Linked DNA regions of Ovis aries. The protein of the gene in region 7 purifies or fractionates together with the protein of the main gene of each other region. This does not show direct contact. Links are inferred from orthologs where the notes say so. Each region holds a gene or a part of one and is shown on either strand. Other genes may lie near its edges.

Region 1 (3,500 bases), on a different chromosome or scaffold from region 7:
TAAATGTTATTTAGTGGGAGATAAGGTAACGAAAATTGTATTCTTACTTACCTTCAAATGCTTTAAATTTCTAGGGCAGGAATCTAAGATTTTGATAAGGAACTAAATAAAAATCCATAGAAACCACTGCCTCTTTCCCTCAAACTTTAAAATAAAATAATTATATCTAGTCCAGTCCCTGTTTCTTCTTCCTAACAGGTGAGCTCCTAAGAGTCTTTATCTGTAAATTTAATCAAATGGAATTCAATTTGTTAATGTGGAAAGTTTACCTTGGTATTAAAAATGATTTCAACAATGTAACTGTTAAGATGATTAAAAACAAGTTGAGATTATGAGGATAAAGGGCTTAAGCATCCTGGACACTTTAGAAGCACATACTGAATATAAAATTTACAATTTAAAAACTATTCTGATTTATCTCTTTGAGATGTTACTTTATTTAATTCCCTTTATTCACAGAACTATGTAGAAAGGCTCCACCAAGGAAAAAAACATACAAGGGTTAAAATACAATCTATTTTGATGAGTCTACGTACAGGTGTAAAACTCTGATTATTTCAGGGTGATAGTAAATATACAGCAAATAATAAGATAAACACAACAATAAGTTCCTGCAAAATGGTATCATTATCAAATTTAGTTTTCTAATGAGGCGTAACTTTTTAATCCATAATTAACCAAATCAAGTCCCAGAACAGTTAAATTTGATTTAAAAAACACGTATAGCTTTAACCCCACATTTATGTAAATTCAAATCTCATTTAGAAATATATCTGCTAATGAGTTCCCAACATCCATTTTAAATTAAGTTTGGGTTACAGAAGTATACAAATGAACTGGTAGTGAGATACTAACATAAGTCACCCCAGAATTATATTTACTTACTTTCCACATATATTATGTATAAATAACTTTTATTTTAAAAAAAATAGTTGTAAAATATAGACTAAAATGGAAATAACGGCTAACATTTTGTAAGTTTCTTACTGGGAACACTCAGCCACACTAATAAAAATTTCTCAAACCAAAATCCAGTTTAAAACCAGTAGTGCAGGACACTAAAGAATATCAGCAGCTATTTCCACATCACAATAGTTTTCCTCTTAAGCCATGCTTTTACACTAAAAACTTTTTTGAAAGGTAAAACATAGAGAAGATGAGGGATTTTCTTACCAAGCAAATCTGGTAGAAAATATCTTTACTCAAATAAAGAATAGTTTCTTTTATAAAAATCAACTTAACACCATGTACTTAATGTTATAGCTCTTTAAAAAGCCTTTAACAGTATGATACTTAAGAATGAAATATCACTTTCTAATTTTCCAGTAGTAGTGGTTCAATAGGCCATTTGAACCAAAACACAGAGCTTGTATAAGCTTTTAATTGACCATTCTAAGTATTTAAAAAAATAAAAAATTACATCAGAGAAGTCTGTCAAACACCAAGAATCCAGAGTGGTTTTTTCCCCCCTTTTTTGGAGTATATAATATTAGTAGAGATTACAAATAAGAACAAAAGTAAAAGAACTATTATAAAAAGATAACAAATCTTATTTAAAATGTTATCACAAAGAGCAATACAAACAAAAATAATAAATAGTTGCTATGTCCCTGTCACGCTAAAGCAGCACAATAATATTGGTGTTTAATATTTATTTTACTACCCCAATATTTACGTGCTGCTAGAGCGGAACAAGTATGTCAGTCCATCCAAACAAAATGAGCATATGATCATGAAAATACAGTTTTGAATGAATTTCCTTAAATTTCTAGAGCAGCAAATAATGATTCGCATCTTGACTGTAGTATGTAAACCATGATGTGCTGCTACAGTACTTTAAGGCCTCAAAAATACAGGATTCATCCAATAGGGAAAAACCTCTTTACGCTTTTACTGAAAGAAAAAAAAGAGAGAACCTCTGATGTCTTAATAAACTTACCTGTAAGATTAAAAATCTATTATGATCCAAGTCAATTCCATGGCTTCGAAGAAGAATTCCAACATCCTTAAATGTAGTCTTTTTCCCACTTACGTGATAAACAGAAGTATTATCTCTGTAGGCCGTTCTGGATACATAGAAGTTACTGTTAGGAATGACTTCATAATCATCCCCTTCCTGTTTTGAGGAAAAACAAAACCAGAAAACAATTGCTGGTATTAAGTCATAAGTTGCTTCAAATTTCACTCAATTCATATTGAAACCAATTCTATGGATTAAGAACTTTAACTGGATATGCACAAAAGCTAACAATAGTTCTTAGAATTAATTATCTTAGCAAAGAATAGAAATAATTTTCTATTTCTAAGGAGTTCTTGGACTCCTTCCTCACAGATCACAAAAACCAAAAAGTCAAACCAACTATATCTTCAAGCCTAGAAACATACTTAACTGAGAAAAGAACTGAAGGGAAACAAGAATCCCACTGTATCCAAAACAAACTCACCCCAAATATTAAACCACCTTGATAGATTACATTAGTTCATTAAAAAAAGCTGCAAGGGATGATTCAAGGAAAAAGGGAGGGGATGGTAGTACGGTGATATAGATTAATTTTTTGGGGGTGGTGGTGGTGGTGAAAAATAAGCTATCAATTAAAGGTAAAAAGAACTGCAAAGAACTGACAACTACATTCCCCTATTTTTTAATCAAACAAAAAGAAATGAAGGGCAAATCTGCTTTAACATTAAAACTTGCTTTCCTTTAAAAACTAGGTCATTTTGAAACCATGACTTTTAAACTTCACACAAATCAAGTGTAATTAATAAGCTACAAAATCAAATCTGATTTACTGGCTATCTACTTTCCAACCCAAACTGTATAACAGAAAAGCACTAAGAAACAAAATTAAAATATATACCACCATGTAGATTTATTTAAAGCTCGTTACATTAAAATTAAAAACAAGACCTAGAGGCCAAATCACATCCTCATTTTGTTATGTAATTAGTTTTCTACATTTTTAGGTTCCAGCCAGTTTTGAACTACGAATTCCCAAAGCTGATTATTAAACAGAAGAGAAAAAACCCCAGTACCAACAGAGCCATGTAAATAACCCAAATAGGCATTTTATGTATAACTGTCTCCTTTTAGAGGGAAAAAAAAAGTTAGCTTATCCTTCTGCTGTTTTAAAAGGGTAGTAGATTCCTACTAACTTTAACGTGAATTGAAATAACAGAGATGGTAAAATTAGTCAACTTACATTTTCAAGTTTAGGTAACTTATCTGAAAGCAAGGAAAACATAACTTTAAAACTGGTACTCAAGATACTAGAACTGCTCAAAAAGGTACTATTATGAGCTACTTATAATTCATTTCCGTGACTAAAAATATTAATATTTTAACAGCCACCATCACACCTCAAAAAGAAAATACGATCATGGAGGCAATGAAATCAATACTGGTTCTGCTTTAACCATATACTAATTTTTACAAGCTAATTTAAGCCCAAATTAATAAAATGTGTAATGTACTGAAATCCTGTCTTCCTTACTTGAAGATG
Region 2 (3,500 bases), on a different chromosome or scaffold from region 7:
AAAAGAAGTTATCAAACTTATTTCTGAGGTTCTGCATTAGTATTTTCACCAGGGGAAGAGGAGATTAGGTCCCTTGTGATACACTTACGCCTGTTTTGCTACTGTGTGTTGCACGGGCCACAATATTCTGCTGCATTATAGCTTTATCACTGTAGAGGAGATATATCCTCAAGACAGGTTCTGCCGGCACTTTCCTCCAACTGTCACTGCATAAAGCTGCCCTTCACCTTAGAAGGTTATTATTCCAGGTTAAGCAGGGCTGTCTGTACCTAAACAGCAATATTCCATGTGGAGAGCAAACAGCACAAGGTGATTCCTTCATGGCAGACGTGTATCCACTGGCAGCATGACTGCCCCTGCCCCCCCATTACAGCAAATCTCCCAGGCAGTGGAGGAAAGGTGGAATGGGCTCTTCACTGACGAGGTCCATGATCTTAGGCAAATTACTCATCCTGTCTAAGCTTCAGGTGGCTTATGTCAAATACGGACAACAGAATCTAACTCAGACTTGATCTAAAGAGAAAATAATGTATCTGCCTGAATATGCTAACTTCTCAGTAAAAATATTATTAGAACCTTATTATCTTATCATTCCATTCCTTGTCCTTCTAAAATGTATATTCTCTAGCTGCTCCCATTCCTATCAGCTAAGCATAACACTATAAACAATATTTCACACTTATAGTCGTAGCTTTCCTTCTTCTTTTCATATCTGGGACAAAATTCTACCATTATGAATCCTGTTCCCCAAAGGAGAAGGCAGAATTCAAACTCCAAGTCTTTCCCTGCACCCAGAATATGAACAGGAAGCCTAGGTGCTGTCAATCATATCCAACCATGCCAGACTAACACATACAGTCTGAACAACCATGGAAACAGGAATTAATTCAAGGAGTAAGGGCAAAGTCAAGTTTAACAAGAAAAATCCAGAGGGGCCAGAAAGCTAGATAATAAACAGAACACAAAAGGAAATGGCCGATTAAAGCATTAAAAATCACAACAAAGTGAGGAAAACACTGATGCAACTTAAACAAAACAGCTAAATCAGAGCTATGGGGCGCGCTTCAGAGTTGACCTTGTCCACAGGAACATAAACACACACTTGAAGCTGTAGGTTCTCTCCCCACAGCGTGGAAGGGAAGTGATGGGAACATGCTTCTCCAATAATCTCAATGGCGTGAAGCTACGTATTCTGGACAAATGCACTTACCAGAAGGGAGAATCAGCTCCATAGTTTCATCGTCATAATCCAGGGTCTTTTCTGAGGGCAGCTCCTCAGTCTCATCATGGTCCTCGCCTTCTTTGTGATCTGGGTAGCTACTCCTGGAACCATGGAATGCCATCAACACACAGACCAAGACCCCAAATCTCATTAACATACTGCCAACCTACTAGATCACTAAAGGGGTGGCAGGCGAGGGTTAACGTCTACAGGGACTATACTGAAAGCTTCTGGAGAGGAAACAACTTGCTAGCATTTTCTCTTTCGGAGAAGGCGATGGCACCCCACTCTAGTACTCTTGCCTGGAAAATCCCATGGACGGAGGAGCCTGGTAGGCTGCAGTCCATGGGGTCGCTAGGAGTCAGACACAACTGAGCGACTTCACTTTCACTTTTCACTTTCATGCATTGGAGAAGGAAATGGCAACACACTCCAGTGTTCTTGTCTGGAGAATCCCAGGAATGGGGGAGCCTGGTGGGCTGCCGTCTATGGCGTCACACAGAGTCGGACATGACTAAAGCGACTTAGCAGCAGCAGCAGCAGCAACATTTTCTCTTTAGTAAAGTAAGCAAATAGCCTATGAACTCAAATTGGATCCCAGACCTAAATGTAAAATACAAAACTATAAAAAATCCTAGAAGATAATATAGGAGAAAACCTGGATGACTTAGGGTTTGGTGATGACTTTTTAGGCATGACACAAAACGCACAGTTCATGAAAGAAAGAACTGATCAGCTAAACTTCATTCAAATTAAAAACTTCTGTTCTGTGAAAAACAGTATCAAGAGAATTAAAATACAAGACGAAGACTTGGAAAAAGTATTGACAGAAGACACATCTGATAAAGGACTGTTATCCAAATGTAAAAAGAACTCTAAAATTCAACAGTAAGAAAATAACCCATTTGGCCAAAAATGGGCCAAAGACCTCAACAAACTCCTCACTAAGAAGAAACACATGGCAAATAAGCATATAAAAAACATGCCCCACAGCATATGTCATCAGAAAAATGGAAATTAAAACAGAGATACCACTACACACCTATCAGAATGGCCCAGACCCGTAACATCTAATGCTGGGGAGGGTCTGGGCAGTAGGAATCCTTCGTTGCCAGCAGGGATACAGGAGGGCACAGCCACCTTGGAAGAGCTGGCCACTTCTTGCAAAATCAAACATACTTTTACCATAAGACCCAGCCTGCTGCTTGGATTTACCCTAAGGAGTCAAAAACTTCTGTCTATACGAACACCTGCAAGTGGATTACAGAAGATTTATCCAAATTCCTACAACTTGGAAGAAACCAACATGGACTTCAATAGGCGACTAGATAAACAAACTGTGGTACATCCATGCAAGGGAATAGTTTTGGATTACACCAAAAAAAAAAAAAAAAAAGAGCTAGCAGGCCATGAAAAGACACGGAAGAACCTTAAAAGTATGTTACTGTGAAAGAAGCCTGAAAAGGCTACATACTGTATGATTCTAACCATACAATATTCTGGAAAAGGCAAAAATATGGAGACATTAAGTATCACTGTTTTCTAGGGGTCAGGTGAAGGAGAATGATGAACAGGCAGAACACAGAGGATCTATAAGCAAATGAAACTACTCTAATGGTAGATACATGTCACTATATGGACATCTGTCCATACTCACAGAGTAGACAACACCAAGAGTGAACACTAAACTATGGACTTTGAATGATAACTGGTGGGTCAACTTGGTTCATCAAATGCAACAATATGTGCCACTAGGGGAGGCTGATAATGAGGGAGGCTATGCACTTGTGGAGTACGGAGTACATAAGAAACTGCTATACCTTCTGTCCAGTTTTGCTGAGAACCTAAAATTATTCTTAAAAACAGTGAGCAAATAACCTACAACAACTCTTTCACCTGTGTTGTTTCTCTCAAGGAGGGCTGGCAAACAGGGGAAGAGGAGGAGACTGTACAGTGGGAGATGCAGCTCTCAATTTAAATCCTTACAGAAACAAGTTCTAGAACAGCGCAGTCCAGGAAAACTCTGTGATGATACAGATCTTCAGTCTGCGTGTCCAGTATAGTGGCTACTTTCAAAGCACATCTGCTTTTAAGCATAGGTCTTGAAATGAGGGTGGTGCAACTGAAGAACCGGATTTTTAAATTTTTTAATTTAATTAATTACCCCAAAGAGTAACATGAGTACATCCAGAAACTAGCAAATTAAGACACTGTAGTTCTAGAAGAATCTGTCTTTCACAAATACACACGGAAAATAATTGGAGAAACTCACACTAAA
Region 3 (3,500 bases), on a different chromosome or scaffold from region 7:
TGGTCATAAAAATAAGATTCCAAAACTACTGTTTTAGAAGAAAGTGATTAAGACTTTCAATTGGTTCTATCCAAGCTAAAGTAAAAAGGCTACTATTATTTAGCAAAGGACTGTTAAACAGAACCCAGCATTAGTATGTTAAGAATCTTAAGAAATACAACTCTACCAAGTGCCTGCCCATTTAAGTCCTAAGGCTACAGTACCTTTGAGAGAAGGCCAACAAGGAATGGGACTAATCCATGATTCACAACTTGTTGTATCTGGTCCTGGCGGCCAGCTGTGATGTTTGACATTGTCCATGTAGCTTCCTTCTGAATATTAGTTTTGGAGTTTGTCAGCAGGCTGGGAAACACGGCAAGTGCTCCCGCATCTATTACAACCTGTGTTTGTTCATCTGTCCCAGTGACAATATTTCCTATGGCTCTGAGCGCAGGAGTCTGAAAGGAAAAAAAGTTGACGCTGGCAGTTATCTTTTATCTATTCCAGCACTACTCAAAATCTCTACACCCTAAAAGTTTTGACAGGTAAGAGGCTCATTATGGCCTAAAATATATAATATGTCAATATTAGTACCAACTAATTGTGCTCCTTATACTTTATACTCTCATTTGAAAATCAACTTACCACAATTGGCAATTCAGTAGCTCCTAAAAGCTTCACAAGTTGGGGTACAACCCCAGTTTTCACAACCATTTCAATCCGTTCATTTGGACCATCAGTAAGGTAGGAAATAGCCCAGCAGGTGTCAGCTAATACTTCCGGATCATCGTGATGCAGGAGACGAACTAAAGTAGGAAGAATCTGCTCAATAGCCTCTAAGGGGGGTGCAGGATTCTTGTTGCGGCAAAGATTTGAAAGCGTCCAGGTAAGATTACGTAAGTAACCACACTGGGGGGAAAAGAAACACGCAATGAAGTGGTTTTTTAAGGGGGGTAGGAAAATGAGAATCAGTGAGAAACGTGACTTATGCTAAGTAACTTACTGCTAGAGACGACATATCAGGCACAGCCAGAAGTGCCAAGAGCGGATCAACTGCACCATACTTGATAACCAGGTCTCGGAAAACGGAACCATCACCTTAAAAAAAAAAGAAGGCGGCTGAGTCAACCACTACCACCTGTCTAGTGCCATTAATTTCCGTTACAGAGTACACCAATGTCTTGACGCAACAAACACACTAAGACACGTATGCCAACCTCAGTATGACTGGAGACATTCAGCCAATTTCAAATCCAAGTACCTGCAATGTTTCCCAGAGCCCATACAGCTTGTTCACTGATGTGAGCATGGGGAGATGCCAACAGAGAAATGAATGCTGGGATAGCACCTCCGTCCACCACAGCCTTGGTCTGTTCTGAAGTCCCAGAAGCAATGTTAGTGAGGGCCCAGGCAGATTCGAACTGAATGGGACTACAATCAGTTCTTCCCAAGAAGGACACAAATTTTGGAATCAAACCAGCCCGGATTATGTTGTCAATAGGGGGCTGTTTTTCCCTAGAAAGCAGTTTCCTATGGGTAAGCAAAAAGAGAAACAAAAGTTGAAGGTGATTAACCAAACAGGTTCATACCAGAGGAAAAAAATAAAAACAAAAACACAATTTAAAACGCCAACTCGAGACCAAACAAGTTCATATAAAAAACACAATTTAAAATGCATCTTGCATGAGTACAGCTGTGGTGGATTCATGTCAATGTATGGCAAAACCAATAAAAGTAGAAAAAAATAAATAAATAAAATGCATCTTACACGGGGATGATCCAGAGAGATGATATGGGGTAGGAGGTGGGAGGGGGGTTCAGGATTGGGAACTCATGTACGTCCGTGGCGGATTCATGTCAATGTATGGCAAAACCAATACAGTATTGTAAAGTAAAATTAAGTAAAAATAAAAATTAAAAAAATAAAATAAAATAAAATAAAATGCATCTTAATCCAAGAGTTTAGAACTTTAAGTAACCTTTTACAGTGAAGACTAAATGCTGACATATCCTGGAATTTAAGAGGAGCTGAGCAGACAGACTGTTTGCATGGTGGGGTAGTGTCGTAAACTACTTTTCCCAAAACTGAAATATTACCAATGACGCAGAACCCTTCTCTCTGCAGAAATCTACTCCAGATCTTACCACTTTTTAAAAACTTTGACATACGATACCATCACAGTCCATTAATCCGCATTACTCTGGCCAGTGGTGGGGACACACACGTTTCCCCTGATCTTCTGCCAATTGGACCTGCTTTTCCCCACACTGTGAGGCTACAGAGATCATCAATCCTTATATTATGGATGTCACAGATAGCTGTGTATGGTGGGTGGGAAGAGTCTAATAAATAGAATATATTTATTTCCTAAATGGATGAACCATTCTAAATCAATGTGGTAATCCCAGTTACTGAATAATTCCTCCTTTCCCTGACATTGACTTGAAATGCCAGTGACAAGAAAACATTTCTGAAGTACACTAAAGTTATCACTGGAGGTAGATGTAATTTGAGGCAACTACAGAAAATTTTAGATTAGGAAAGATTATAATGAAAATTGGCCTAGGCCTGGCTTAACCTTTACTCTGCACCACCTGCCATTGCTTTCCCACCAAAAAATGTAAAAAGGCTGATTTCTTAGTTTACTCATGCTACAGAAGACAAGACTTACCTAGCAGCTTGAGTAGCTTGGAGCTGGCTTTCCAAATTGTTGCTATTTATGCCTTTGACAATATCATCAACAGACCAATTTACAGTGCCCTACAAGAACAGGGAAATTAATTTTCAAATTATCATTTTTAAGATTAAATACAATGCAATCCCAACACGAAGACATTTCTGTTTATAATCAGTTACTAAAGTTTAGTCCCACATTTAAATTCGCCTGTTAAATATTCAATATTTAATATATAGAACAATCCTCAAATTAGGTGTCATGACCAAATGATATCTTAAGTGATGGAGTATCCCAGCATCTAGTCACTAAGAAAAGTAGCTGTGAATAGGTTAAAAAAAATGAACTAGAGCACTGCGAAGGTTATTCTTACATTAGTCTCAATCACTTGTATTCAGATATGCTTTTAGGGGAAAAGGGACAGAGTTAGAGGCAATGTGCTGGGAATCTGAAAAGCTAAAGTTGTTATCCATGCATTTCCCCTCCGGTTTATGTGGTATTTATGCACACATAAACATTATAGGTAGTAACTACATATTGGAGTTAACTGCAGCATTTGCGAACCAAGCTACAGTTAACTCAAAAAGACAGTATCACATTCTCCCTAAAACCTTACAACAAGGACAATGTAAAATCTAAACACCACAGAACAAATGATTATATATATAAAACACTGTATATAGCATTATACAGAATTTACTCTTCATTTGTGGTGCAGAATGGGGTGCTGTAGGAATTCTGGGAAGGAAGCATTTTTCCTGTTAGGATGACCTAGAAGTGCTACAAAGAGAAGATGAGATTTGAGTATAAAACTTGAAAAACACAACACAGGTCGAATTCAGGGGG
Region 4 (3,500 bases), on a different chromosome or scaffold from region 7:
GATAGCTTCCTTTACAGCTTCAAGCTGTTGTTCATAGGATGCATGCTCTCTCTTGAGCTCCTCCAGCTCCAGGGTGATAGCTTCAACTTCCTATAAAAAACACAGCATCTGGGCATTCAATAGTTACCAACTACTGTGGCTCAGACAGTAAAGCGTCTGCCTACAATGCGGGAGACCCAGGTTAGATCCCTGGGTTGGGAAGTTCCCCTGGAGAAAGAAATGGCAACCCACTCCAGTATTCTTGCCTGGAAAATCCCATGGACAGAGGAGCCCAGTAGGCTACAGTCCATTGGGTCACAATGAGTCGGACATGACTGAGCGACTTCACTTCAGCAAAACTAATAAGATACTTAAGCAAGTAAGGACCATAGCTTACTCAATTACTGAAAACATGTAAGCTGCTTCCAAAGAAGAAAAAGGGAAAATGAATTTATTTTTCTATATTAAAAAATGTACATACAATTTTTATGGGTTCAAAGAACTCTGCATAAACTATTTCATCCTTTTATTCCTATAGAGAAAAATAATACAGAATTCTATATAGCAGATAAATTAGGAGAGGTTAAAAACCTTTTTTAAACAATTATTTAATGACAAAAAAAAATAGCTTCTCTTCTTTCCCATTATAGCCTTTAGTTCTTTACAAAATGCTTTGTATAAAGCTAAATATTTAATAGTAGAATCATAAGGTGGGTTTAAAAAGAACTGTGAAGCAAAGTTAGATTTAAGTGAAACTGTATTCAATAGTGAAATTGTATAGAATAGTGATTGAGCATGTAGCCTTCTTTGTAAACAGAAAAACATAGGTTCAAATTCCAGCCTTGAAACTATCCAAAATAGTCTACAACTGAATAGCACTGCAAATATAACATGCTTTGCCATCATTATTCCTTCACAGTGTCTGTTCAAACAGATGATCACCAAACAGAAACGTCAACAGTGATTCTCTGATAAGACACAGCTTGGCTTACATGATACAAGCTTTGGTCCACTCCTGAATGAAACATTATCAAAATCAAACCTTTATCAAGCAACTTTGTCTCTCACTTTTTGATTTGTGACACATATCGATGAAGAAGGCCATGTCAACCAATGGTGCTCTACCACCCTTCAGTTCTACGCTGATGTTAAAAGATTAATTCTATTAAAAAAAATTACCTGTTGTTTTTCTTTCATTTTTTTGCTAGAAGCATCTGCTTTAGTTCTGGCACAATCTAGTTTTTTCTGTGCATCCTTCAGTTCTTTCTCTCTTTCAGCTTCAGCATTTTTCATTTTATTCTCCAACACCTCATATTTTTCTTCAGCTTTTTTCTGAATTTCTTTGGTGTTTTTTAAGGTCTCCTCACTTTCCTCTGCATTATAAAGCAGGCAAATACAACTAAATGAGATCTTCCAACTAGTAACAGCTACAGAAAAGGGCTTACAAATTCAACTTTTAAGAGAAGAAAAGGTATAGAAAGTTGGAGTCAAGAGTTTAAAAAAAATTAACTGTTCTAACTTTATCCTAGAAATAGTATGTTGAAAACACAGGTCATACCTTAGAGCCATACTTGAATTATCTAAATTCTGTAAAGAAATTATTTCCAATCACATGAAATTGAGTAACATAAACTTTATCTACAATTTAACTTATAAAAAGATCACAGACCGTTTTATATACCATATGCTTTATAAAACCAGAACTGAGCACATAACTATGGTACTTTTATTTTAGTTATAAGAATACTTTTAATTAACCCCATAAAAAAGCTTAACTTAGTGTTCCTTGCTCACTTATTTTTATTCAAGGAAACTCTTATTAAAGTGGAGAAATATTGTGAGACTATACTTAGGACGAAGCATAGGAAACATATTACCTCTGAATTTAGACATTAAAAAAATAAAGTAAGATAGAATGAGCATGTTATGCTCACAATCAACATACACTGTTAAGTGTTAGGACTAGGTACAAACATAACCTTGAAAGCCAAGATTATACAATTTCCTATACTAGTTTTCACTGTAGAATATCATTCTAGAAATCAAAAGAGAAATTTTAAAAATACCCAACACAAAGATAAACAGAAATACAACAAACCAAATGTACATTAGATGTAGCAAAATCAGTTCGAGGAGTTAAGTTCATAGCAACAAATGCCAACCTAAAGAAATAAAGAAAAATCTCAAACAACTTTACACCAAAAATCTGTTGTGTTTCTATATACTAAACAGTCCCATTTAGAATTGCATCAAAAAGAAGAAAAAACAAAACCCAAAGTTAGTAGAAGGAAGCAAATAATAAAGATCAGTGTGGAAATAAATGAAATTGAGACTAAAAAGAAATAGAAAAAAGAATCCATGAAATTAAAAGCTGGCTCTTTAAAACCAATAACCTTCCAGCTAGACCTAAGGGGAAAAAAAGAGACTCAAAGTCAGAAATAAAAGATACTGCAACTGATACCGCAGAAATATAAGGAATCATAAAAGGTAACTATGAAAAATTTCACACCAACAAATCAGACAACCCATAAGAAATAAATCCCTAGAAAAAGACAACCTAACAAGATTAAATCATGATGACATAGAAAATGTGAAAAGACAGTAATATGGAAATTTAATAAGGAATCAAAAACCTCCCAACAAACAAAAGTCCAGTTGAATTAAATCAAACATTTAAAGAGTTAATACTAATCTTTCCTTTTCAAATTCTTCCAAAAATCAGACAAAAAGAAAATTCTTTCAAATGCATTTTGTGAAGCCATCATCATCCTGATATCAAAACCAGACAAAGAAACCATAAGCAAAAAAAATCACAGGCTGTCATCCCTGATGAACATAAATGTAAAAATCCTCAACAAAACATCAGCAAACTGAATTCAAGAACACACTGAATCATACACCATGACTAGGTGGGATTTACTCCAGGGATACATTGATGTTTTCAGTTCAGTTCAGTCACTCAGTCGTGTCCGACTCTTCGCGACCCCATGGATCGCAGCACGCCAGGCCTCCCTGTCCATCACCAACTCCTGGAGTTCACTCAGACTCATGTCCATTGAGTCGGTGATGCCATCCAGCCATCTCATCCTCTGTCATCCCCTTCTCCTCCTGCCTCCAGTCCCTCCCAGTATCAGTCTTTTCCAATGAGTCAACTCTTCACATGAGGTGGCCAAAGTACTAGAGTTCAGCTTTAGCATCATTCCTTCCAAAGAAATCTCAGGGCTGATCTTCTTCAGAATGGACTGGTTGGATCTCCTAGCAGTAGAAGGGACTCTCAAGAGTCTTCTCCAACACCACAGTTCAAAAGCATCAATTCTTCGGCACTCAGCTTTCTTCACAGTCCAACTCTCACATTCATACATGACTACTGGAAAAACCATAGCCTTGACTAAATGGACCTTAGTCAACAAAGTAATGTCTCTGCTTTTCAATATGCTATCTAGGTTGGTCATAACGTTCCTTCCAAGGAGTAAGTGTCTTTTAATTTCATGGCTGCAATCACCATCTGCAGTGATTTTGGA
Region 5 (3,500 bases), about 18 Mb from region 7:
GAAAGGGATGGTCAGAAGGCAAAAACCCACTCAGACATTCGATCATAGGCACTGGACTGTTCATCACGCCCAGACACTCGACTGTAGGCTCTGACTATTCATCACACTCGGACACTCGACTGTAGGTACTGACTATTCACCACATTCAGACACTTGACTGTAGGTACTGACTATTCACCACACTCAGACACTCGACTGTAGGCACTGGGTGTTCATCACACTCAGACACTTGACTGTAGGTGCTGACTGCTCATCACACTCAGACACTCGACTGTAGGCACTGGGTGTTCATCACACTCAGACACTTGACTGTAGGTACTGACTATTCACCACACTCAGACACTCGACTCTAGGCGCTGAGTGTTCATCACACCCAGACACTCGACTCTAGGCGCTGAGTGTTCATCACACCCAGACACTCGACTGCAGGTGCTGACTGTTCATTACACTCAGACATTCGACTATAGGCTCTGACTGTTCATCAGTCCTGCTCTGGAAGCCCCCTTGCAGTCTGCGCACAGGAGGCTCTGAAATACCTGAATGCAGGTGATGGCCGGGATCTGTTTCTTCAGGAAATTCATCCTGGATCGGAACTCCTGCCGGACTAAGTACCCCCGGCAGCAAGCCTGCAGCTTGGTGATCAAGCCTTCGTTGGCCAGCCAAAGTTGTTCCCGGTTATACGCAGCCGTTACCCCAGAGATGGAACTCTGAAAACACAGCAGTCACATGAGAAGATGTACACATAACAGAGTTTTAACATGGTGTCATCTGCAGTGCACACACTAATGCTCACAGCTGGCCAAGGCTATAATTGCGGTGCACAGGCCAGGGATCAAAACCATGCCTCCCGCATTGGCAGGTGGGTTCTTTACCACTGACCCACCAGGGAAGCCCCTATTCTAGACCTTTAGCCAAGAAACAGGAATGAAGACTTCAGGTCTATTTTTCAAGGCCAAGTTGTCCTCACATCCTTCTTTGACCTCATGTCATTTCCTTTACTCACTCACCTATCTAATGCTGACCATCCCAGGAACTGTGCTTCCTGATCTGGGGTCATACTGATAAGAAGACAGAGAGACAGGTGCCACCAAGGCCTGGAGCCCCTGGAACGCCACAGAGGAGGGCCCTGTGGGGGAGTGGACAGACTACAGATGGTCTGGAGAAGCAGCCTAGCGTGTTTGGACTGTTACTACCAGCTCCGGAGAACCAGCAAACCTTCAAAGAGGAATAAAACCGTCAGATATGTTTTAGAAAAGCAGCATGGTTAGCTGAGTAGCTGGCAGATTAGCGTGAGCAGGTGAATTAGAATCCTGGTAGCGTATGATCCCAGTGAGAGCAGCCCTGGATCACCCTGGGTGAGGGCAGGAGTGCCGAGAATGGTTACTGAGAACACCTGCAGACCCACCTGATAGCCATGGTCCCTTCTTGTCTTGGATGTCAGAGCTGCTCCCCTGCTACCCTCAGGCCGCAATGTGTACAGTTAAAAGACTACATGAGGACCTCCCTGGTAGTCCAATGGTTAGGATTCTGTGCTTCCACTGCAGGGGGGATGGGTTTGGTCCCTGGTCAGGGAATTAAGATCCCACATGACATGCAGTGCAGCCAAAAAAACCCCCAAATAAACAGAAACAAAAAGACTATATGACCTAGGGACAGTCCATGGGATGCAAGCAGAAGCAGCTTGGTAAGATCTTTGGGAAGGAAAACTCTTTAAGAGAGACAGACAGCTGGCATCAGGCCTACCTGTTCTCCTCCCCGTCTTCCTACTTCCTGCCTGCCTTCCTTCTGGAGGACAAGGTGACCTTGAGAATGGCAGAGCAGGAAGACAGAAGAACCCTGGGACAGACCAGATCATGGAGCCACCACACCTTCCCTGGATGCTCAACTCCAGAATTACTTTATGTGAGGAAAAAAAAATACACCCTTATGTACCACTCCAGGCCCGATTTTCCTGCCAACCTGTGCTGAGGTGTCTGCTGGACTCCTAAACTGCAGATGCAAAGGCACACCTGGTGGTGAGGAGAAGGACTCAGGTGGCAGGCGGCGAGTCTGAAGGAACAAGACTTAGGTTTGCAGGCACACAGGCCAAAGTGGGGGCTACCGGCTTGAAAGAGACGACTGAGGAAGCCTACAGAGGAAGCGAAAGGGGCTGATGGAACCCAGATATAACACAAGTGGAGTCAGAGGAAACGAAAGGAGAGAAAGATTAAGAAGGGACACTCGGAAGTAGAACCAGAAGAGAACAGCGCTGGAGAAGCCGAAAGAGTTGAGGGTTTAAGGAAGCAAACACACTGAGAGGCCGCCTATGATGAGAGCACACCTCCTCGCTGAACTTGGCCATTAAAAGGCCACTGATACATTCTGAAGCAGGAGTTTTACTATAGTAAGAGCTGGATAGCCATGAGCTAAGACGTGAATGGTAATGGAAAATTAATTCACGAAGGACAGACGAACTCAAAGGCATTTAGTAAGAACAGAGTATGAACCTACAGGCAAGACTGAATCGGGAGAGCTCTAGAGGATTAAAATTTTTCTCTTTTTTGTTTTTCAAAGACAGGGAGACATGATTATGTATGTAGGTGGTATTTAAAACTATATGCTTGAACCAGTAGCACCAGTATCACCTGGGAGCTGGTCAGAAATGCAGAATTTCAGGCCTCATGTCAGACCCACAGAGTCAGTCTTCACGTCACCAGGATCCCTGGGTGATTCACACACACACGTTAAGTTCTGGAGAGCATTGATCTATGTTACACAGAGGAGGTAACACTTGAGATGGGTATGCCTGGACAGCCAGAATTTTGACAGATGTAGATGGCAGGGGAGGGACATCTCACATTAGCAGGGACTTTGTTTTGTTTATGATTACACATCTGATGCACAGAAGAATATCTGGTACATGTAGGAGGATAGGAGGTGTTCAGAAAGTGTCAAATGAATAAAGAAATTCTAAAAAGAATGAACATCAGCATCAGCAAAGACACAGGGGATGGTAAAGATGTGCTCTGAAAGCTGAGATAAAAAAATGCTAACTTTATGTGAAAGTGCAGGCTATAGTCTAACAAAGTTTGGAGTTTGTGGGATAGTCAGAAAAGAGATTAAGCATGTAAATTGGGAAAGAGTAAGAGTAGTTGTATTTAATGAGGTGTCAGAACAACTTTTCATTTTTCTTTTTTGCTGGACCATTCAAGTTTTCTTAAAAAAAAAAAAAAAAAAAGCACACAATTTATCTGACCTAATTCTATAATCCAGATGTTCTACTAATTTAGATTTGAGGTACTCGTACTAAAAAAAATTATTCCAAATTAGTTATATAGCCTTAATTTTATTTTTTAAATTTATTATTTATTTTTAAACCTTTTTATTTTATACTGGACTATAGCCAATTAATAACGTTGTGACAGGTTCAGGTGAACAGCAAAGTGACTCAGCGATGCAGAGTCACGTGTCCACTCCCCCCGACTCCCCTCCCATTCAGGCTGCTGCATCACACTGAGCAG
Region 6 (4,144 bases), on a different chromosome or scaffold from region 7:
GACCTATTTGTGCTGCTGTAGTTTATTGCATTAATGAATATATAGGACTATATTCTATGTGTCCTGTTTTGCTTCCTTTAAGGGTTATTTAAAGGAAGGATTATCTAAAGGCTCTCGGTCTTCTCCTGAGACCCACGCTGGTCCTTTCAGGACCCCAGAGCATAGCACCACGAGTGGAACTCAGCTCAGTCCCTGGCTCCTGGTCTGTGCTGCCCAGGCCAGTGTCCTCGGGACCATGGCACCATGACTCAACTTCCCTTCTGGAGGCACCTCCCATACAAGCTTCTCTCCAGGACAAGAGGTGCTCTGAATGCCATCCTGAGGACCAAGTGTGTCCAACAATTCTAAGTTTAGGAAGCAGACATCCTGGTCTGTACACCAGGCTCCCTTCAAGTCTGGCAGGCAGAATCAAGACTCTGACAACCCCAAGCTGTCTGCCGCACTGGCTGTCCCTCCTAGGAAACAGAACGAGGCACAGTTGCTTCTCCTTCATTCTTTCCTTTTACATTGCACAGCAGAATTACGTGAGGAACTTTTCTATATATACCTAAAGATTCTGATTCAGGAGACCCACCTCTGAAATGGAGAAGCATGCTACCACCTCAGAGTCAAAAATTCCTTGTCCCTCAAGGCTAAGAATAAACTGTCCAAACCTTGTGAGCAGGGCTAATTCCTAGCAACAAACCTGGCTCCTTCACTAAGTGGTTCCAATAAAATAAGATAGCACAGAAAATCAAACAAACGGAGACAAAATACAGGGGTGTTGCTTACCATAATGCAGTTAACAGTATATTGTTGATAACTTTGGATAATAGAGAGTTTGACCCTGGGTTTTTTTTTTTGTTTTTGTTTTTTTTTGTTTGTTTGTTTTTGCTGTTTGATGCTAATAGCTTTTGAGATCTTCCACTTTCCTCCCTGCCCAACATCTGGGCCAACAGACAAGAGAGTCTGAGGTCTCCCTCCTTTGGTGCTGGCTGGGGACCCTTACTCCATCACAGCCCCCAAAACAAAACCTAACCTGAGGCTACTTGCTCTACCCAGGAAGTGTCACTAAATTAGTAATAACTTTTGAAACCCTCTTGGTGGGTTGAACTGTGTCTCCCATAGCTATGTTCAGATCCTACCTCCCTACTATGAATGTAACCTTATTTGGAAATAGAATCTTAGCCGATCTAATTAGTTAAATTAACACAATGTTATACTGGAGTAAGGTGAGCCCCTAGCACAATGAACTGGTATCCTTATAAGAGGAAAATTTGATTACACAGGGAAAAAAAATTTGACGACAGAAGTGGAGATTGGAGTGATGTGTCTACAATCCAAGGAATACCTAGGACTGCCAGCAGCCACCAAAGGGTAGGAGAGAGGCTTAGGACAGAAAGAGCCTCCAGAAGGAACCAATACTGCTGACACCTAAGTTTTAGACATTCAAAACTGTGAAAAAAAATATTCTGATTTCTTTAAACCTCCCAGTTTGTGGTACTTTGTTACAGAATCGCTACCAAACTAAGACAATATACATATGGCTCTTGACAGCTGTATTAGCTTCTGCCTCTGTCTTGACATGGGTTCTCGCCTGTATGTGTCTGTCTCTGTTCTCTGCTTCTTATAAGAGCACCAGTCACTAGATGAGGGTCCACCCTAACTCAGTGCAACCTCAAATTAACTAATCACATTTGTCTGCAAAGAGCCTATTTTCAAAAATGATCACAATCACAAGTACTAGGGGTTAAGACTTCAATATATGTTTCAGAGGGGACACAACTGATCCACAATATTCAGCCAAAACTAGGGACCATCCCACCTTTGCAAGGTGACCAGCCACTGAAAAGTTTAAAACTCACTGTGCAGCTGTGAGGACTGGCTGAGAAAACATACGTGATAAAGTTCCATCAAACAGCACACGAGGACAAGTTATTATAAAACAGGTAATGGACAAGCACTCTGCAGCCTGGCAGTTTAGTCCCTGAAACACACTAGCATGTGCAGGGATCATGGCAGAGGAGCCCACTGCTGTCCTGCTTTTATACACCTAGAATTTCCTGATGGCAGCAAACGTAGCACACTGAGAAAGAGCATACCTGTCATATGTCAGGCAAATGTGTCCTGGCCTCAGCCGATGCCCCTCAAGCAAGGCCCTAGGGCAATAATCACTGAAACAGCCCAACCTAAGAGGGTCCCAAGGAGAGAACAGGTGTAATGAGCAACAGGTCTTCGTCCCAGGTTCATGCCATGTAGGATCACCATACACAAGGAAATAGCTCTAATGCTGCCCCAGTCCTCCAGGAGCTTCTACTAGGGTTGGGTTGGAGAGATACTGTGAACACTCATTATACAAACCCTGCAGAATACATGCACATTAATCTTTAAAACAAAGCTGGCCATCTCTGCTCTGCACACCTAATGAGGTTGCTATAAGGATTCAGAGAGATTTACATATGTGAAGCAAGTTTATATAAGGCAGTGTTCTCCTGCATTTAGCCACATATTTATTTACTGCTAGGAACTTTTCTAGGAGTTCAGGATATATCTGGGAAGGACATAAATACCTCTGCTCTTAGCTTACATTCAAGGAGGTAAGAGAAATTGACATTAAACTATTTTTGAAAGTTTAAATAAAAGATACACTCAGTTCAGTTCAGTTCAGTTCAGTCGCTCAGTCATGGCCAACTCTTTGTGACCCCATGATTCGCAGCACGCCAGGCCTCCCTGTCCATCACCATCTCCCGGAGTTCACTCAGACTCACGTCCATCGAGTCCATGATGCCATCCAGCCATCTCATCCTCGGTCGTCCCCTTCTCCTGCTGGTTCACAAATAGTAAAAGAGGAGCCCAGAGTAGGCCCAAATACAGTTGGGAATTTTGTCCCTGATCCAGGTAGCTCTAAGTATCTGGTGATTATTCAGTTATAACAACTTGGAAAAAATAAAGGTAAATTCTTACTACTCCTTTCACCAAAATGAAAACTACCTGGATCAAAGAGTTAAATTAGAAAATGAAACAAAAACGCACTGAAATAAATATTTAAGACTTAAAAAAAAAATCTCAGAGTAGGAAAGGCTTCATAAAGTCGAAAGGCCAGACAGTGGAAAAGCATGTGTAACACAAAGGATGAAAGTTAGTTTTCTCAATGTACAAAGATCTACAAATCCATGAGAAAGAACTAAGCTAAATAGAAACAAAGTAACAAAGATATCTCCAAAAAGCATTCTGGATTTAAAACAGAACAAGGAGGACTGGAATCCACACTGTGCCCTGCCTCCCAGGGAGATGCTTCTCTAATGAGGATGCCAGCTGCTCAGACAGGAGCAGGAGGCAAGGTGCCTGAGTTTTCATTTATGTTCATTTTGAAAATTGAGGGACAGGGTGGGATGATTTGGGAGAATGGCACTGAAACATGTATACTATCATGTAAGAATCAAATCGCCAGTCTATGTCTGATGCAGGATACAGCATGCTTGGGGCTGGTGCACGGGGATGACCCAGAGAGTTGTTATGGGGAGGGAGGTGGGAGGGGGGTTCATGTTTGGGAACGCATGTACACCCGTGGTGGATTCATGTCAATGTATGGCAAAACCAATACAGTATTGTAAAGTAAAATAAAGTAAAAATAAAAATTTTTAAAAAAAGAGAAAATTTTACCATGTGCATTGTTAATTAAGACAACTAACAGTTTTATAAAAAGTTACAATGCAGAGAATCTAAGACAGACCCACGTCTGAACTACAACAGAAAAAAGGCCTTCCTGACATGCAGGTCATCTCAATAGGAACGTAAAACCTCCTAGAGGGAATTCTTCTTTAAAAGAAAGAGCTGTGTCTAAGTTATTCTACACTCAGCCATAGTTCATACAAGCAAAATTGAGGGCATAACCACTCCACTAAAACAGCTTCTTGCTCCAATAAACCAAGTGAACACCTCCTCACTTCACTTTCATTCCGAGCATGCCAGAGATGTTGCATGTGCTTTGTGATCAGAACAAAATACTGAATCGAACATTTTTGTTGTGCCTCAGTAAATAAATTTAAACCAGTTATCCATAATGGGGCTGTTAGGCATCAAGTTTTAACTTAAACTTCTTACTGCTAAGTCGCTTCAGTCGTGTCCAACTCTGCGCGACCCCATAGATGGCAGCCCACTAGGC
Region 7 (4,181 bases):
ATTCTGTATGATATTATAGTGGCGGATATGTCAAGATATGTTTGTCTAAACCCACAGAATATATACAACACTAAAAGTGAACTCTAATGTAAACTATGGAATTTGAGTAATAATGGTTTATTGACATACATTCATTGTCAGAAATGTACTAGGTCATGGAGTACTTTTGACAGCTGTGCATGTATAGGGGCATTTATAAAACATTTGCATGTATAAAACATTTTTAAGATTTATTTCTTCTCCATAGGAACTGTCTTCCTATTGCCAAAAACTAGACCCTTTCTCTCTCCACTGCTGGAGGATTTTTCCAATCTCCCAGTTAATCTCCTTTTCAAGGTAGTTCCTATTAGCTGTTCTGGTCACTCTCGCCCTATACATCTTTGTAAGACTCTTTAGAACTTTTCCAGTCAATGTTCTAGTCCAGAACTTGCTACTTTACCTCAGCATAAATTCTGTATCGCACACATTTAAGTCCCTGCTGACTTTTGCTCCTATTTTCTCCATCATTGCTTAACGCTGGTTTTTGCTTGAGGCACAGGTCCTCTTTCCTTTATTTTACAACTGATCAGGCTTTGCTTTCTTCTTCCTCCTCCCTTGTAGTGTTCACTTTATACCCATTTCTTCGGGGTCCAAATAAATGCCACTTCCTCCTTGAAGATTTTCCTGGCAGCTCCAAGTCACATTCACAGCTCTCAAATAATCATTCTTATGTGCTGTAGTTGGGACAAGATAGTGGAATCCTCAACTCTTATCTCTTAATTTGACCTATGAGCAGGAGACCTAGGAACTTTACCTGCTATAGTGGGACATGTATCTATAGACATTCGAGGCGCAAATGCGTAATTTACAAAATACTAGTTCTTCAAAGATATGCAGCAGCTCCTCTGCTTAAAGGAACACGCCTCAAATACTAATACGCATTTTTGTTTTTTAAATACAGTGGGTGTAGGAGCATGGTTTACTTATCTCACAAACCAAGGGATTCATTTCTTGATTAAAAAAAAAAAAAGAAAGCTATATCACATTTCCAACTAATTACGTCTCAACTGTCTCCAAGAGCTTCTCATACGCAGGCATGTTTTGTTTTCAACGCGTGTGAAATAAAACGTTCGAAGGGACTAACTACAGACATACTTAATATCACAACCCATAGGAAAAAGTCGAAAACACACTCGAGGTACTGCTGCTTCCTGGGAACGCCACCGGGCCTGAATTCAAACCTTTTGGAACCTCAGCTCTCTCGTCTGTACAGTGGAGAGGATACTCGACAATATTTACCTCCCAGGGTTGTGGTCAAAGGTTTTCTTTCTGAACTGCCGGGCAGTTTGCCTCCCAGGACCGAAGGGTGGCGCTTTTCTTCCCGCGATGCACTTCCGTGCGCGAGGAGGGGAGACCAGCGAGGAGGAGAAGCTCTCGCCGGAGGCCGGGTCCCAGAGGCGGGAGGCCGGGCCCGGACAGGTTGGGCCGCAGCTTCGACGTGCAGCGTTGGGGCTTTCAGCAGGAGCACGCCAAGTGTATACACACCGTGCAAAACACGCTGAGCGTGCGTGCACCCGTATGTGCGCGGTGCTGGGAGCGCGCTTCAATTGACAACGAAACGTGAAGGCGCAGAGCGTACGAAAGGAAAGCGACAACTGACGAGGCCGAGGGAGCCGGAGACCTTCTGTAGCGGCGACGAAGCTACCGGGCGCTCCGCGCCCCTGCGCCTCGGGCCGACGGGTCTCCACAGCGCCCCACGTGGCGGCCAGCGGGGTCGCAGCCAGCGCAGCCCATTTGCTCCGCCTCCGCGGCGCACTGCTGCCCTCCTCAGCTTCCCCGCCCGGCTCTCCCCCGACCCTCTTCCCTTCCCCCTCCCGGATCGCGATGGACGCGGTCTCCCCCCGCCGCCGCCGCTGGCAGCACGGCGCGGGCCTCTAAGCTGCAGGCCTCTGGAGCCGCGTGCCGGGGTCGGGACGTGAGCTGGCTGCCGCCGGTCTGGGGAACCTCTGGCTTTCCTGTCAGCAGGTCCCCGCGGAGGAAGGGGAGGGACAAGGCGCGGCTTTTCCTGTGCCGCCAGCCCGGCTCGACCTGCGCGGCCTGCGGCTTCCTGGGAACTCGAGGGCCGCGGCCGGGCCTGGCTCAGCCCGCGGCCTGCTTGGAGCTGGACCGGAGCGGTTTGAGACGACGGGCCTGGGTAAGAGCTTGAGGAAAGGGGACGCAGGAGCGCCTTCGGCGGTCGGAAGGGTCAGGCCTGGTTCCGGGATCAGGGATGCCTGGCGGTAGCCCGGGAGCGAGACCCCAGCCCCTGGTGAGGTCGGCGGGCTGCCGCCGACTCACCCGCTTGGCCCCTTTGTTTACCTCCCCCGACTCTGCCCACGGCGGGCCCCGGCTTGTCCGAGCCAGAGCCCATGGCTGGCCCGCCTTGTCCTTGAGAAAGGATCGCCGCCCGACGGGGCCAGGGACGTCCCCCCGGGCCTCGGAGTTCCGGGCGCCGCTCCCGGGAGACCCATCGCCCTGCCTGCTCCGGCCTCCTTCTCTCGGGTAGAGAGGCTCGCAGCTCCACCTCCAAAACTTACCCTCCTCCTCGACACAGGTAGCTAACTTAGCCGGGTTTGGTTCGGGAAAACCGGAGCGCAGTGCCTGCGTCTCCCGGCGCCGGGTCGGCTGGGCCCCGAGTTTTGGGTCACCCTTGCAGATCGCCGCCGTTGGGTGCCCACCGGAACCTGCCGCTGGATTTATGCACCTGCAGCTGGGTTACGAGGGACCCAACGCTGTCCTCTCGTCAGAGTGCTTTTGAGTTTTTGTATTGATTTGCCAGTTGGGGCTGCTTCTCTGTTGTTGGCTGCTGTTGTTTTTAACCAACTGCCCCGTTCGGTGAGGATGGGTAAAGAGGACCGCAGATTGGCCTGTGTTCTGATCTGTAACGTGTTAGTCCATTGCACTTACTTGTAGCATTTCTTTTTAAACTTTTAAGAACAGTTGCTGCTACTGCCAAAATTCCTAATCAAATCATAGATAGATCTTGTATATTGTTTGTATTTGGACATCTTAAGGATAGCAGTAAATTAAATCAGCAGAATTTAAGAAGTTGAAGTTAATTTTAGAGACTTGATTTGGAGGGGAATTGGATCAAAGTGCTAAGTTTCCTTAAAATACTGAATCTAATCCTTATCAGAAGATCAGCTTTGGGTGACGGAGGGGGAAGGAAGTTTTCTGGGGAAAAAAAGAACCCTTAGTAAGGTGTTGTTTGCCTTTTGGCAAACATGTTGGTGATAGCAATAGTGGGATCCGAAGCTTGTTTGACTGTCTTTGACAAAGGCGGCTCTGGTTTCCAGTTTAAGCAGCAGCCTAATCAGCTTATACTCTTGTGCAAAACTGGTTTTATTTAGTACAATGTATGAAGTTAAACCCGAGGAATAAGGAAAGTTGGAAAACTACGGTTAAGTACACTATCCAAACATACTTACAAGTCTTTTCTAATTCCTAGGATACCAAGAAAATCTGGCTCTAGCCGATGTAAAAGAAAAGAAAAAAAATTAAGCCCACGCTGTTCAGTCCTGGACATTTAAAGGAATTTTTGCCTTTGCTTTTTAAATTTAAGCAAAGAAGCCTAAGAAACAATGGCAGATGTGGACCCAGATACTTTGCTGGAATGGCTGCAGATGGGACAAGGAGATGAAAGGGACATGCAACTAATAGCCCTTGAACAGCTATGCATGCTGCTTTTGATGTCTGACAACGTGGATCGTTGTTTTGAAACGTAAGTGCAACCCTTCATCATTTTCATTTGGGGATGCTGTAGTGACCTGGGCATAACGTGTTTTCAACCATCTGCTGATTTGAATTTGTATAGAATTTTTCTTTAGTGAGTTTTATTTTTTTAATATATTTATTTTAATTGAAGGCTAATTACTTTACAATATTGTATTGGTTTTGCCATACATTGACATGAGTCCGCCACAGGTGTACATGTGTTCCCCATCCTGAACCCTCCCCCCCCCCCACCCTCCCCATCCCATCCGTCTGGGTCATCCCAGTGCACCAGCCCCAAGCACCCTGTATCATGCATCGAACTTGGACTGGCGATTTGTTTCACACATGATAATATATATGTTTCAATGCCATTCTCCCAAATCATCCCACCCTTGCCCTCTCCCACAGAGTCCAAAAGACTGTTCTATAAATCTGTGTCTCTTCTGCTG

The links.
Region 1: the proteins of HECTD1 (region 7) and SMC4 purify together in Homo sapiens (affinity purification with western blotting; 3 studies listed by BioGRID, with this or other methods). This does not show direct contact. The link is inferred for Ovis aries from reciprocal best matches to the Homo sapiens genes HECTD1 and SMC4.
Region 2: the proteins of HECTD1 (region 7) and ZNF622 purify together in Homo sapiens (affinity purification with mass spectrometry; 4 studies listed by BioGRID, with this or other methods). This does not show direct contact. The link is inferred for Ovis aries from reciprocal best matches to the Homo sapiens genes HECTD1 and ZNF622.
Region 3: the proteins of HECTD1 (region 7) and KPNA2 purify together in Homo sapiens (affinity purification with mass spectrometry; 3 studies listed by BioGRID, with this or other methods). This does not show direct contact. The link is inferred for Ovis aries from reciprocal best matches to the Homo sapiens genes HECTD1 and KPNA2.
Region 4: the proteins of HECTD1 (region 7) and SMC2 purify together in Homo sapiens (affinity purification with mass spectrometry; 3 studies listed by BioGRID, with this or other methods). This does not show direct contact. The link is inferred for Ovis aries from reciprocal best matches to the Homo sapiens genes HECTD1 and SMC2.
Region 5: the proteins of HECTD1 (region 7) and IQGAP1 purify together in Homo sapiens (affinity purification with mass spectrometry; 3 studies listed by BioGRID, with this or other methods). This does not show direct contact. The link is inferred for Ovis aries from reciprocal best matches to the Homo sapiens genes HECTD1 and IQGAP1.
Region 6: the proteins of HECTD1 (region 7) and URGCP purify together in Homo sapiens (affinity purification with mass spectrometry; 4 studies listed by BioGRID and IntAct, with this or other methods). This does not show direct contact. The link is inferred for Ovis aries from reciprocal best matches to the Homo sapiens genes HECTD1 and URGCP.

The regions. Positions count from the first base shown.
Region 1 is NC_056054.1:227,749,703-227,753,202, forward strand, and holds part of SMC4 (structural maintenance of chromosomes protein 4), read right to left. Parts: intron 2,117-3,500; coding exon 1,940-2,116; intron 1,701-1,939; exon of another isoform or gene 1,608-1,700; intron 1-1,607. UniProt on the Homo sapiens protein: Central component of the condensin complex, a complex required for conversion of interphase chromatin into mitotic-like condense chromosomes.
Region 2 is NC_056069.1:56,858,979-56,862,478, reverse strand, and holds part of ZNF622 (cytoplasmic 60S subunit biogenesis factor ZNF622), read right to left. Parts: intron 1,324-3,500; coding exon 1,211-1,323; intron 1-1,210. UniProt on the Homo sapiens protein: Pre-60S-associated cytoplasmic factor involved in the cytoplasmic maturation of the 60S subunit.
Region 3 is NC_056064.1:48,650,015-48,653,514, forward strand, and holds part of KPNA2 (importin subunit alpha-1), read right to left. Parts: intron 2,741-3,500; coding exon 2,652-2,740; intron 1,510-2,651; coding exon 1,241-1,509; intron 1,078-1,240; coding exon 983-1,077; intron 889-982; coding exon 625-888; intron 438-624; coding exon 204-437; intron 1-203.
Region 4 is NC_056055.1:18,966,920-18,970,419, forward strand, and holds part of SMC2 (structural maintenance of chromosomes protein 2), read right to left. Parts: intron 1,353-3,500; coding exon 1,159-1,352; intron 91-1,158; coding exon 1-90. UniProt on the Homo sapiens protein: Central component of the condensin complex, a complex required for conversion of interphase chromatin into mitotic-like condense chromosomes.
Region 5 is NC_056071.1:21,440,849-21,444,348, forward strand, and holds part of IQGAP1 (ras GTPase-activating-like protein IQGAP1), read right to left. Parts: intron 708-3,500; coding exon 537-707; intron 1-536. UniProt on the Homo sapiens protein: Plays a crucial role in regulating the dynamics and assembly of the actin cytoskeleton.
Region 6 is NC_056072.1:261,355-265,498, forward strand, and holds the start of URGCP (up-regulator of cell proliferation), read right to left. Parts: upstream 2,801-4,144; 5' UTR 2,771-2,800; coding exon 2,748-2,770; exon of another isoform or gene 2,169-2,747; coding exon 2,082-2,168; exon of another isoform or gene 1-2,081. UniProt on the Homo sapiens protein: May be involved in cell cycle progression through the regulation of cyclin D1 expression. May participate in the development of hepatocellular carcinoma (HCC) by promoting hepatocellular growth and survival.
Region 7 is NC_056071.1:39,550,826-39,555,006, reverse strand, and holds the start of HECTD1 (E3 ubiquitin-protein ligase HECTD1), read left to right. Parts: upstream 1-1,381; 5' UTR 1,382-2,173; intron 2,174-3,466; 5' UTR 3,467-3,599; coding exon 3,600-3,739; intron 3,740-4,181. UniProt on the Homo sapiens protein: E3 ubiquitin-protein ligase which accepts ubiquitin from an E2 ubiquitin-conjugating enzyme in the form of a thioester and then directly transfers the ubiquitin to targeted substrates.